Linked DNA regions of Oryctolagus cuniculus. The protein of the gene in region 1 interacts with the protein of each later gene in a pairwise test. Links are inferred from orthologs where the notes say so. Each region holds a gene or a part of one and is shown in the gene's direction. Other genes may lie near its edges. The genes, in order: ZYX, IMP3 and NEBL.

The links.
Region 2: the proteins of ZYX (region 1) and IMP3 interact in binary tests that used the Homo sapiens proteins (3 or more experiments, as listed by UniProt). The link is inferred for Oryctolagus cuniculus from reciprocal best matches to the Homo sapiens genes ZYX and IMP3.
Region 3: the proteins of ZYX (region 1) and NEBL interact in a two-hybrid assay, tested with the Homo sapiens proteins (2 studies listed by BioGRID and IntAct). The link is inferred for Oryctolagus cuniculus from reciprocal best matches to the Homo sapiens genes ZYX and NEBL.

What each region holds. Positions count from the first base shown.
Region 1 is NC_091434.1:180,378,341-180,382,088, reverse strand, and holds the start of ZYX (zyxin), read left to right. Parts: upstream 1-1,094; 5' UTR 1,095-1,124; coding exon 1,125-1,286; intron 1,287-1,416; coding exon 1,417-1,639; intron 1,640-2,124; coding exon 2,125-2,324; intron 2,325-2,481; coding exon 2,482-2,574; intron 2,575-2,687; coding exon 2,688-3,230; intron 3,231-3,748. UniProt on the Homo sapiens protein: Adhesion plaque protein. Binds alpha-actinin and the CRP protein. Important for targeting TES and ENA/VASP family members to focal adhesions and for the formation of actin-rich structures.
Region 2 is NC_091443.1:108,367,975-108,370,633, forward strand, and holds IMP3 (U3 small nucleolar ribonucleoprotein protein IMP3), read left to right. Parts: upstream 1-1,047; 5' UTR 1,048-1,120; coding exon 1,121-1,675; 3' UTR 1,676-2,092; downstream 2,093-2,659. UniProt on the Homo sapiens protein: Component of the 60-80S U3 small nucleolar ribonucleoprotein (U3 snoRNP). Required for the early cleavages during pre-18S ribosomal RNA processing. Part of the small subunit (SSU) processome, first precursor of the small eukaryotic ribosomal subunit.
Region 3 is NC_091444.1:47,107,911-47,111,558, reverse strand, and holds part of NEBL (nebulette), read left to right. Parts: intron 1-405; coding exon 406-512; intron 513-2,263; coding exon 2,264-2,440; 3' UTR 2,441-3,648. UniProt on the Homo sapiens protein: Binds to actin and plays an important role in the assembly of the Z-disk. May functionally link sarcomeric actin to the desmin intermediate filaments in the heart muscle sarcomeres.

The sequences.
Region 1 (3,748 bases):
AAAGCATCTCCCAGATGCTCCTTGGCAGTGGGGTTCAGTCGGTTTGGAGGGCCAGGGCGGAGACACTGAGTCAACAAGAGGTCTGTTTCAGATGTCACTCAGGGCTGATGGAATGAGAGAGTGGAGAGTGGGTGGATACTGGACTAGAGGGCAAAGGCCTAGACTCCATAGCTTTGCAAGCGTGGAGTTCAGCCACTGGGTAAGTTTCCGTGCGCAATTAAAAAATAAAAAGTGGCACTCAGGTTTGGTCTCCTTGGCGTAGCCTGGGGCTGAGCAACCCGGTCGGATGAGTGGGGGCTCTACCGAGCTGTGTCGCTCGGGAGGCTCCCGAAGGCGTGGGTCGCGGCGGAGGCTCAGCTGTGGCAGGCTTGTTGCTCGCGTCCACGTCTCCCCGGGTCCTACTAGATCCTCCGGCTGCCCTGGCCAGGGCTGAGCAGCCCCCTACCTACCTCCCTCGGGCCCGCTGGTCCAGAATATCTCTGGCGCAACTGATCCGCAGCCGGGGGCGCCAGTGTTGCGAATTCCTAGAAGCCTGCAGAGGCTGCCTAGGGTTGGAAGTTACGATACCCCTAGGTCGCAAGAGGTTCAGGCTCACACAGCCACCGATCGCCGAAGGGCCTGCCAGGAGGGCGCGGGACGAGAACGGCCCTGGTCCTGGTCCTGCAGCCAGCGCTGGCCGGTGGGTTCTCGGGGCGCGGTGCTGCCGACGGCGTGGGAGGTGCAGCCGTGAGGGTGGCAGGGCCGCAGGTAACTGCAGGCCCCAGAGGAGGCGGCTGGGCCAGGGCGGAGGCGCAAGGGGGCTGCTCGCTCCGTTGCCTCGGGGGACCCTTTCGACCTCCGCCGGCTCAGCCCGGAGTGGGGCCAGTGAGTCAGATCTCCGGCACCCGCTGACGGGCGCGGAGTTGGGGGTGGGGGGGCAGGTCAGGAAATGACATCAGAGGCCTGTGCTCAGGGAGGGGTGGTCTGCGACCGGCCAGGGCTGCGAGCACGGCTGGGAGTGCGGCGGGGGCGGGCGGACCTTAGCGGAGCCCTCGGCCCAGGGCAGGATCTGGGCCCCTTCCTGGGGGAGTTTCCTGCCGCGCCCGCCCTGTCTCTCCCCGCCCCCTCTCCGGGCCGCTCCTTGTATGGTCGCGGCGCCGCTCTCTCCCCGCCCCCTGCCGCCCTCCCTCCTCTTCCCTGCGTCCCTCCCCCGCCTGGCTGGAGGCTGCTCGGGACCGGGACGCACAGTCCGCAGACCCGGCGCCGAGGCGGCCACTGGAGACGCGGCGCGCACGCTCCGGTCCGCGGTGAGGCGCGGGGCGCGGGGCTCCGGGAGGCGGCGGGTGGGGGTCGTCGGGAGGCGCTCGGGCCTCCGGGGGAGTCTCCTGCCCAGCCCAGCGCAGTTCGGCGCCGCGTAACCTGGAGACCCACCCCCAGCAGCCCGGCCAGGCCATGGCGGCCCCCCGCCCGCCTCCCGCGATCTCCGTCTCGGTCTCGGCTCCGGCGTTTTACGCCCCGCAGAAGAAGTTCGGCCCGGTGGTGGCACCGAAGCCCAAAGTAAATCCTTTCCGGCCCGGGGACGGCGAGCCTCCAGCGGCAGCCGGGGCCCAGCGCGCACAGATGGGCCGGGTGGGCGAGATCCCCCCGCCGCCCCCGGAAGGTATGCGGCAGGGCTGAGGGGCTGGACCCCCGCGGGCGGCGGGGTGGGGGCAGTGGGATTGAGCAAGGGGCGGGGGGACGCCTGCAAAGGTAGCTGCGGAGGGGGCTGGGTGCAGCCACCCTGTCCCGAGCAGATGTTCTTACCTCATCGTGGAGCTCATGGCTGGGAGCCAGGGCTCCTGGGATCGTTCCAAGTCCCCGCCTGGGGGTGGGAGGCGGGAATGTGGGCCACGAATCTTCCCCTGTGGGTCCGTTTTCCCAAGTGTAACGGGAGCCGCACCACTCCTCGGCCGTGCCCCCCCACCTCCGGCCTTTCCTGACCTGTGCCCCCCTGGGCGCCCTGCACCCCTCCTTTCCCTTCCCGCACACTCCAGGACCCCCGAGGCAGTTCTTGGGTTAGGGTTAGAGTCAGAGCTGTGGACGGAGGGCAGCTTGGGGCAGCGGTGGCGGGGCCGCTGCCGATGGCCGCTTCTCTCCCCGCCCTAGACTTTCCCTTACCCCCGCCTCCCCCACCTGGGGATGGCGACGACGCGGAGGGTGCGCTGGGAGGTGCCTTCCCCCCGCCGCCTCCCCCGATCGAGGAACCGTTCCCCCCTGCACCTTCCGAGGAGGACATCTTTCCTTCTCCACCGCCCCCGCTGGAGGATGAGGGCACGCCCGAGGCCCCCATGCCGCCCCCGCCGCAGGTATGGAGGCCTGGGGAGGGGTCAGTGCACTGGGACGCCTCAAGGAAAGGAGAGAAGGGGGCCTGCTGTGACCTGCCCCTGTACCTCTGCCCTGTTGCGGGAGGGGTGGCGTGGGAATGGGAGACGGGGATGGATGCTCTGACCCCTGATCCTGTAGCCCAGGGAGAAGGTGAGCAGCATCGACCTGGAGATCGACTCTCTGTCCTCACTGCTGGATGACATGACCAAGAATGATCCCTTCAAAGCCCGGGTAAGGGCCTGGGGAGTAGGCACCCTGAGTGCCAGGGAGGAGAGACTGGAGAAGGAAGCGTGGAGGGCAGCCCCTGCCTCTAACTTGCTTCTCTCCCTCTGCCTCTCTTGCAGGTGTCATCTGGATATGTGCCCCCTCCAGTTGCCACTCCATTCATTCCCAAGTCCAGTACTAAGCCTGCGACCGGGGGCACAGCACCCTTGCCCCCCTGGAAGGCACCTCCCAGCTCCCAGCCCGTGTCCCAGCCTCAGAGCCAAGCGCTGTTCCATGTCCAGCCCCAGGCTCAGCCCCAGGCCCAGCCCCAGACCAAGCCTCAGGTCCAGCTGCATGTGCAGCCTCAGCCCCAGGCTCATTCCCAGCCTGTGTCTTCCGCTAACGCGCAGTCCCGAGGTCCTCCAGCTCCACCTCCAGCACCAGCCCCTAAGTTTTCTCCAGTGGCTCCCAAGTTTACTCCCGTGGCTTCCAAGTTCAGCCCTGGAGCCCCCGGTGGCCCTGGGTCACAGCCCAGTCAAAAGCTGGGACCTCCGGAAGCTGCTTCTTCCACTGGCACGGGTTCCCCTCAACCCCCCAGCTTCACCTATGCTCAGCAGAAAGAGAAGCCCCGCGTGCAGGAGAAGCAGCACCCAGTGCCCCCACCTGCTCAGAAGCAAAACCAGGTGAGGGGGCGAGATAGGTCAGGGCCGAGACCAGGGTGCTGGGGGAGGGAATCACAGTGGAGGTGGCTTGGGAGAGATGGGGTGGGCATCAGTGTGGTGGGTCCATCGGTCAGACAATGGGAAGGGAGAGAGTTTCTGCAGGGGCTGGCTGGGGCGTGGCTCCAGATTTGGAATTAGAGGATTTGGTGCACATTCTCTTGCGCTTCTGCCCTGGGAGGTTAAAGGGGAGGATGACATCACCGGTCCAATGTTGGTTTTTCCCCATTCCTGGGCCTTAAGTTAATCTCGCAGCTCCTCTGGTCCTTTCACTGCCCGAGGGCCCATCTGGAGATAAGAGCCACAGCCCCAGTAAACAAAGACTGAGCCAACATCAGCTGGATGCCAGGCACTGTGTTCTGTGCTCTGGAGTCTGGGACAAGGGAGCGAAGTGATCTCCCAGAGAGGTTTGGCCTCCGGGTGTCAGATGGGGCTGGGATAGAATCCCCAGCTCCACATCTCATCTGCTGTTTGGGCAAGTT
Region 2 (2,659 bases), on another chromosome or scaffold:
ACACAGCAGGGGGAAAGTAATTACGGCTACATATAACAGACAGCACACAGAGCCAAGTCTTCCACGCCAACACTTCTCAGATGTCAGCGCACTTGGACCAATCACCCCCCCTCCCCGACGCTGAGCTGCAGGCTCTGGTTCCAAAGGCAAGGGAGGGGGCCGCAGGGGGCCGCAGGGGGCTGCCAGCAGCCCTCTGCTGCTCCCAGGCTTCGCGCTGGTCTATCCAGCCACGCCCGCGTGGTGACCAAACTGCTTCTTTTTGAACGGAATAATGCACATTCCGGGAGGGGAGGGACTTTCATCCTTGGGAAAGGACACGGCTGGGACTGGTTTTGGGCGAGCCTCATAACTTACGAGTTACCTGCATTCTTTTAAAACCAGATACCAAATACTACCGAGTATTACAACGAAGAGATAGCTAGGTGGCGTCCCAGGCCTGCGGCCCCAGCAGCCTTCCCCTCCCGTTAACGCCACCCCGGAGGGCCACGGCCAGCCCGGCGGGCCAATGCGTCCGAGCCCAGGCCAAAACGTCCACGGCGCAGGTCTGATGAGTGGACAGTCCGTGTTAGCAGCGTCCGTCTCCAGCCCCGCCCCCCCCCCCGCAAGCTCCGCGTTCCGCGCGTCCTGGGAACCAGTACTTCATAGACTCGGTGCCACCTCCCCGCCCCTGGGCACGGGGCGACCGCTCGGTCCCCTGGAGGTGGGGGACAATCCCTGGACAGGCCGGGAAGCTGAAGGCCGGCGCAGGAAACCCCCGCAGAGAGGGCCCAAGTCGCCCCGCTTCCCCTTCGGCTCGCGAGAGGAGACTCTCCCGAGAGACGCCAAAAAGCAGAAATCTGGGAGAAAACTGCTACCGCCCTGGGGAAGGCATTCCCGGCCTCCACGCGCGGCAAGGAGCTTCCTCGAGACACGCCCCTCGCCGCCACCCGCTGGGCTCGGGACCAGGAGAAGGGAAGTAACGCGAGATCCGGACAGGAGGCGTGGCCCCACCCTGGCCAATGGGAAACTAGGGGCGTGGCCTCGAGCCCTTCCTTCATTGGCCCGAGCACAGCGGGCGGAAGTCGCGCGCCAGGCGGAACGCGCCGCCGGCTTCGGGTCTCGCGCTGCGGCGGCCGCCATCATGGTCCGGAAGCTGAAGTTTCACGAGCAGAAGCTGCTGAAGCAGGTGGACTTCCTGAACTGGGAGGTCACTGACCACAACCTGCACGAGCTGCGCGTGCTGCGGCGGTACCGGCTGCAGCGGCGCGAGGACTACACGCGCTACAACCAGCTGAGCCGTGCCGTGCGCGAGCTGGCGCGCCGCCTGCGCGACCTGCCCGAGCGCGACCCGTTCCGCGTGCGCGCCTCGGCCGCGCTGCTGGACAAGCTGTACGCGCTCGGCCTGGTGCCCACGCGCGGCTCGCTGGAGCTCTGCGACTCGGTCACGGCCTCGTCGTTCTGCCGCCGCCGCCTGCCCACCGTGCTGCTCAAGCTGCGCATGGCGCAGCACCTCCAGGCGGCCGTGGCCTTCGTGGAGCAGGGCCACGTGCGCGTGGGCCCCGACGTGGTCACCGACCCCGCCTTCCTGGTCACGCGCAGCATGGAGGACTTCGTCACCTGGGTCGATTCGTCCAAGATCAAGCGGCACGTGCTGGAGTACAACGAGGAGCGCGATGACTTCGACCTGGAAGCCTAGCCCGGGGAGACCGAGAGGCCTGCGGCCGGATTCCCCCAGAGCGTGCCGGCGGCCGTGGGCGCTCTAGGAACTGGACCCCTAGTCGCAGGCCACGCAGAACCAGGGGAGTACTTACTGTCTTCCTAGAACTCGGACGCCTGATGGTGACAGCGGGAAGCCGTGCTGTGCTCGGGGTGGGGTGGGGGACTCTAAATTTCCCGCGCCCTACACCTTGCAGGGTAGTAGCCAGAACTCCGGCGCGCCCACGCCCACCTCGTCTGTATCGTCTCGTGGCTGTTTGGCTCGGTTTCTTGCCCCCTGATCGTGAGTTAGCTGCTCACCGTGGCAGAGTTAAGGCGCAAGTTTAAATAAAGCGAGTGTTCAGGGTCCCCTCCGTCATTTAAAGGAGTGTCTCCCTGACGCCCAGCTACTTTGGAAGTGCCCCTCTCTCTCTCTCTGGTTTTCTCAACACGGGGTCAGTTCTGTAGGTCTCCCAGCTCAGGAACCCGGCGCCGAGAGGCTGCGGGTGCTGCTGTTACGGCCGGACGGGTTTGTCACTTGACCGGGCCCCTTCCTCGGGCTGAGGGCTTCGGCAGAGCTCTTGCCCGCAGGATTCCCTGTTGGTGTTCCAGCCGCGGACCAGCGGAGAGGGCTGAGGGCACTCCTCACGCTGCAGCCTGGCCACCTGGCGGTTAGACGTGGCCCAGGAGGCTTCCGGGCACTTGAATGCTCTTAGGGGGCGGTGGAGGCTTGGAAGGGAAGGAGAATGTGGACAACATCCGGGTGTGTGGTCCCCGGAATGATGGGATGGTGGTGTGGGGTGGTGACAGTAGCAAGCGCCTCCTGTGCCAGGCTCGGCGTGAATGCGTGCCGAATGTTGTTAACCCGTGTGGCCCTCCCAGCAGCCCTGTGAAGTGAGGAGTCTGTTAGTCTCTGCTTTCCACCTGCGGGAACCGAGGCAGAGTTCCCAGGAAGCAGGGGCCTGGGGTCCAGTTGCACGCTGGC
Region 3 (3,648 bases), on another chromosome or scaffold:
ATGTATACTCTGCCATTGGTTTGGCAATACTGCAAAACACTGACTTTTAGTTTGGAAAATGCCTAAAAGGATTACATGGCCAAATAAAAACAGAATTTTGCTGAGGGATTATAGGAAACTTTACTTTGTATTTATGTTGTTTTAACATAGCATCTGTAATAGAGTAATAAAAATATCTCAAATGTCTTACAACTGCATGCAACATGATATTTTGTGTGTCCTCACTTACCAAGATTGATACTAATCTAGAGATTGCTTGTAACCCTGTTACTCAAGTTCACTTGGCACTGACAAGGACATCTTGTTCCAGAAGCTGCCAGCGCAGCATGGGGTCACTGTGTGGGCCGGGGAGTGGTGCTTGGAAGCTAAGTTTAAGGTGTCTATGTGTGTGTGTTTCCTGGGCAGCACCGGTTCTTCCTGGAGCCTACCAGCAAAGCCATTCCCAGGGCTACGGGTTCATGCACCAGGCCAGCGTGTCATCCATGAGGTCCATACAGCATTCTCCAAATCTAGTAAGTGTCAGTCAGACATACGTCTTCCACTCTGGTTTCATTCTACCTCAAAAACACCGGTAAATACACGTGGAATAGAGGCGAGTTGAATGTTGAGCTTTTTCATGTAAAGATAGGTGGTGATGTGCTGCCGTTTCTACAGTTCTTTCAAAGGGAGCAAGAAATGTCCAGAGTTAAAGCGTTGAAAAAGGAAGGCATTACTAAGCATATTAAAAAAAAAAAAAAAAAGAAAACTTAAAAGGGGTCTGCGAGTAACAATATCCCGATGGCGTCAGTTGCGGTTTTCACTCAGGCCGAGAAAGCACAGATGGGAAGCATCTTCATACAGCTCATGGAAGATATTTATCACAAAACAGCTATGTGTGGATTTCAAAACTTTTTTTTTGCACCAACATAAACTCATCTTTAATTCACTTTTTCTATGTACTCTTTGAAGTACCTTCATATTTGATGGCCACATTAACAAATTAAACCTTTTTTTTTTTTTTGACAGGCAGAGTGGACAGTGAGAGAGAGAGACAGAGAGAAAGATCTTCCTTTTGCCATTGGTTCACCCTCCAATGGCCGCCGCGGCCAGCGCGCTGCGGCCGGCGCACTGCGCTGATCCGAAGCCAGGAGCCAGGCGCTTCCTCCTGGTCTCCCATGGGGTGCAGGGCCCAAGCACTTGGGCCATCCTCCACTGCACTCCCTGGCCACAGCAGAGAGCTGGCCTGGAAGAGGGGCAACCGGGACAGAATCCGGCGCCCCGACCGGGACTAGAACCCGGTGTGCCGGCGCCGCAAGGCGGAGGATTAGCCTAGTGAGCCACAGCGCTGGCTTAAATCTTGACATTTATTAAAATGGCCACAAAAGTGTGAATGACCCAGAGTGGGGAAAAATGTGCCTTCAGATCCCGGCTCTGGAAATCTTGAAGTACTGATGCATCTGCTGAGTGTGGCGTTTGAAACCATCCGATCGCACTCAACATCTTGTGCTCGAACTGCTTCTCCAAGCCTGGGACCTAGCCGCTGGCTGCTTCCTGCACACTTAGAAGCAGGTGGCTCCCTAAGCTACAAGAGGACTTTAATGTCTCTGCCTTTCTTTGTGTCCTGGCCAGTGTCTTCAATTCCATAATGCACTAGATTTTGAGGTTGTGTGATAATTAGTTGAATTCATACCCTGAAGCAAAAGCAAATACAGGAAAACTCAATTTAAAGATTTCCCCTTATGACATTTATATTAAATATACCTCAATATTCATAACATTTATATGCTGAATTTCTGTCACTATGATACAAAAAAACCTATAAAGTCAGTAGATGATGAATTTTTCTTTTCTTAAAATGTATTTTTGAGGCGAAACAAAAATTCTTAGTACTGTTCAAGAAGTCCACGGCCTCTGCTGGGTACCGGGAACTGCCTCCATGGTGGGTTTTGTTCTCTGAAAAATGTGGCTCAGGGGAGACCCTACATCATCTAAGGACACTGGGATTATGTGAAGCTGTTGCCTTTACTGTTCCCAAGCCTACTTTTCCACGGGTTTGCTAAGCTATTTGTGGCTTTTCAAACTGTAATGCCCCCCACCCCATACTGCGCATTTGTTGCTAGGCTGCTTAATTTGCAATCAATCCGACTAGACGGATTTCCAGAAAGAGATGCACTTGCAAATGCTCCTAGCAGTTCCCTTTTGCGTGGGTTAGGCTGGTCGTGCCTGGTATCTGTGGTCATGACCGTCTTGGTGTTCATCGTGTGATCTCTTGTTGCCTTCTCAGAGGACCTACCGGGCCATGTACGACTACAGCGCCCAGGACGAAGACGAGGTCTCCTTCCGAGATGGCGACTACATCGTCAACGTGCAGCCCATCGACGACGGCTGGATGTACGGCACCGTGCAGAGAACGGGCAGAACAGGGATGCTGCCGGCCAATTACATTGAATTTGTTAATTAAGTCTTTCTCCTTGCCCTTTGAGCTTTATTCTAATGTATTCTAAATCTGATCTTTTTAAAAGATAGACGATACTTTTAAGAAAATTTGGCAGTTATTTTACAATAATGTATCCTTACTTTGACAAGTAGACACACAGGTACCAGGAAGAAGGAGGGACTTCTGGGCTGGAGACAGCAGTGTTTTCAGGAATTCCTGTACACAAAATCGTTAATGTCTGCAGACCTGGTGCTGCGAATTGTGTTCGTGGTTTCTTTTGATTGGCTATTGAACCCTTCTGGGGAAATGTATTTTTGTAGACTTATTTAATAGAAGTGTTGATTGTCCCTTCAATGTCATGAGTAATATGAGACTTCTTAGCTGTCACTTTGGAATCATCACCAAGAAGCCAATTCTCTTAATTCAGTAATGCAGCCGATAATTTAAACACTGGTGAGTTTTGGAGTCATTGGGCGATTTCCAGCTCAGGCAAAAATTGCCTAATGCAGTAAATGTAAGCAATGGCAAAATGACAGTTTGGTTAAAATTATATGGACTGGTGGCCTTAGGGACCTAGAAACATCCGCGTGCCCTGGGCTGACCGAGATCTGTTTGTTTCTCATTTGTACCAAGGCGTTCCCCCCTCTCCATCTGCGTTCTCTGGACCCTGTGTAGCCTCAGCTCCACAGAATGTCAGGACCAAGCACCTTCACAGCTACTCTGCAGAGGGGACACTGTGATGTCATCTCTCGTGTTTCCCTAGTAGCCCTGAGCCTGTTGCATGTCCTGTAGGTTCCAGCTTTTGTAACATAGGCAGCTGTCCTGCCCACCCCTGTAATTAAAGAAAAAACCTTGGCTGCTCCTACAGCCCTTCCTCTAGCTGCTGGCTCATCGAATAACATATTTTGAGAAGTTGCTTGAGATTTTCCTGCATTGCACTCTAGTTTTGAAGGATTTACATCTTAGGAAATAACACGTATACTCTAGTAAATAAGTGATCTAGGTGTTTATTGAACAGCTTTCATTAACTTAACACTGCTGTTGATTTAAAAATGAAAATGTTATAGAAACCAGTGGAAAAATGGATTGTGGAATGCATGGGAGTCAAACCCAGCAAACAAAAAGTTAGCAACTCCACCTTGAGATGATGTAGCCTCCGGGTTTGGAAACTGCCAGTCAGATTCTGGCATGGAAATCTAGCCGCTGAAATTGGTCCATCTGAAGACTTCCTG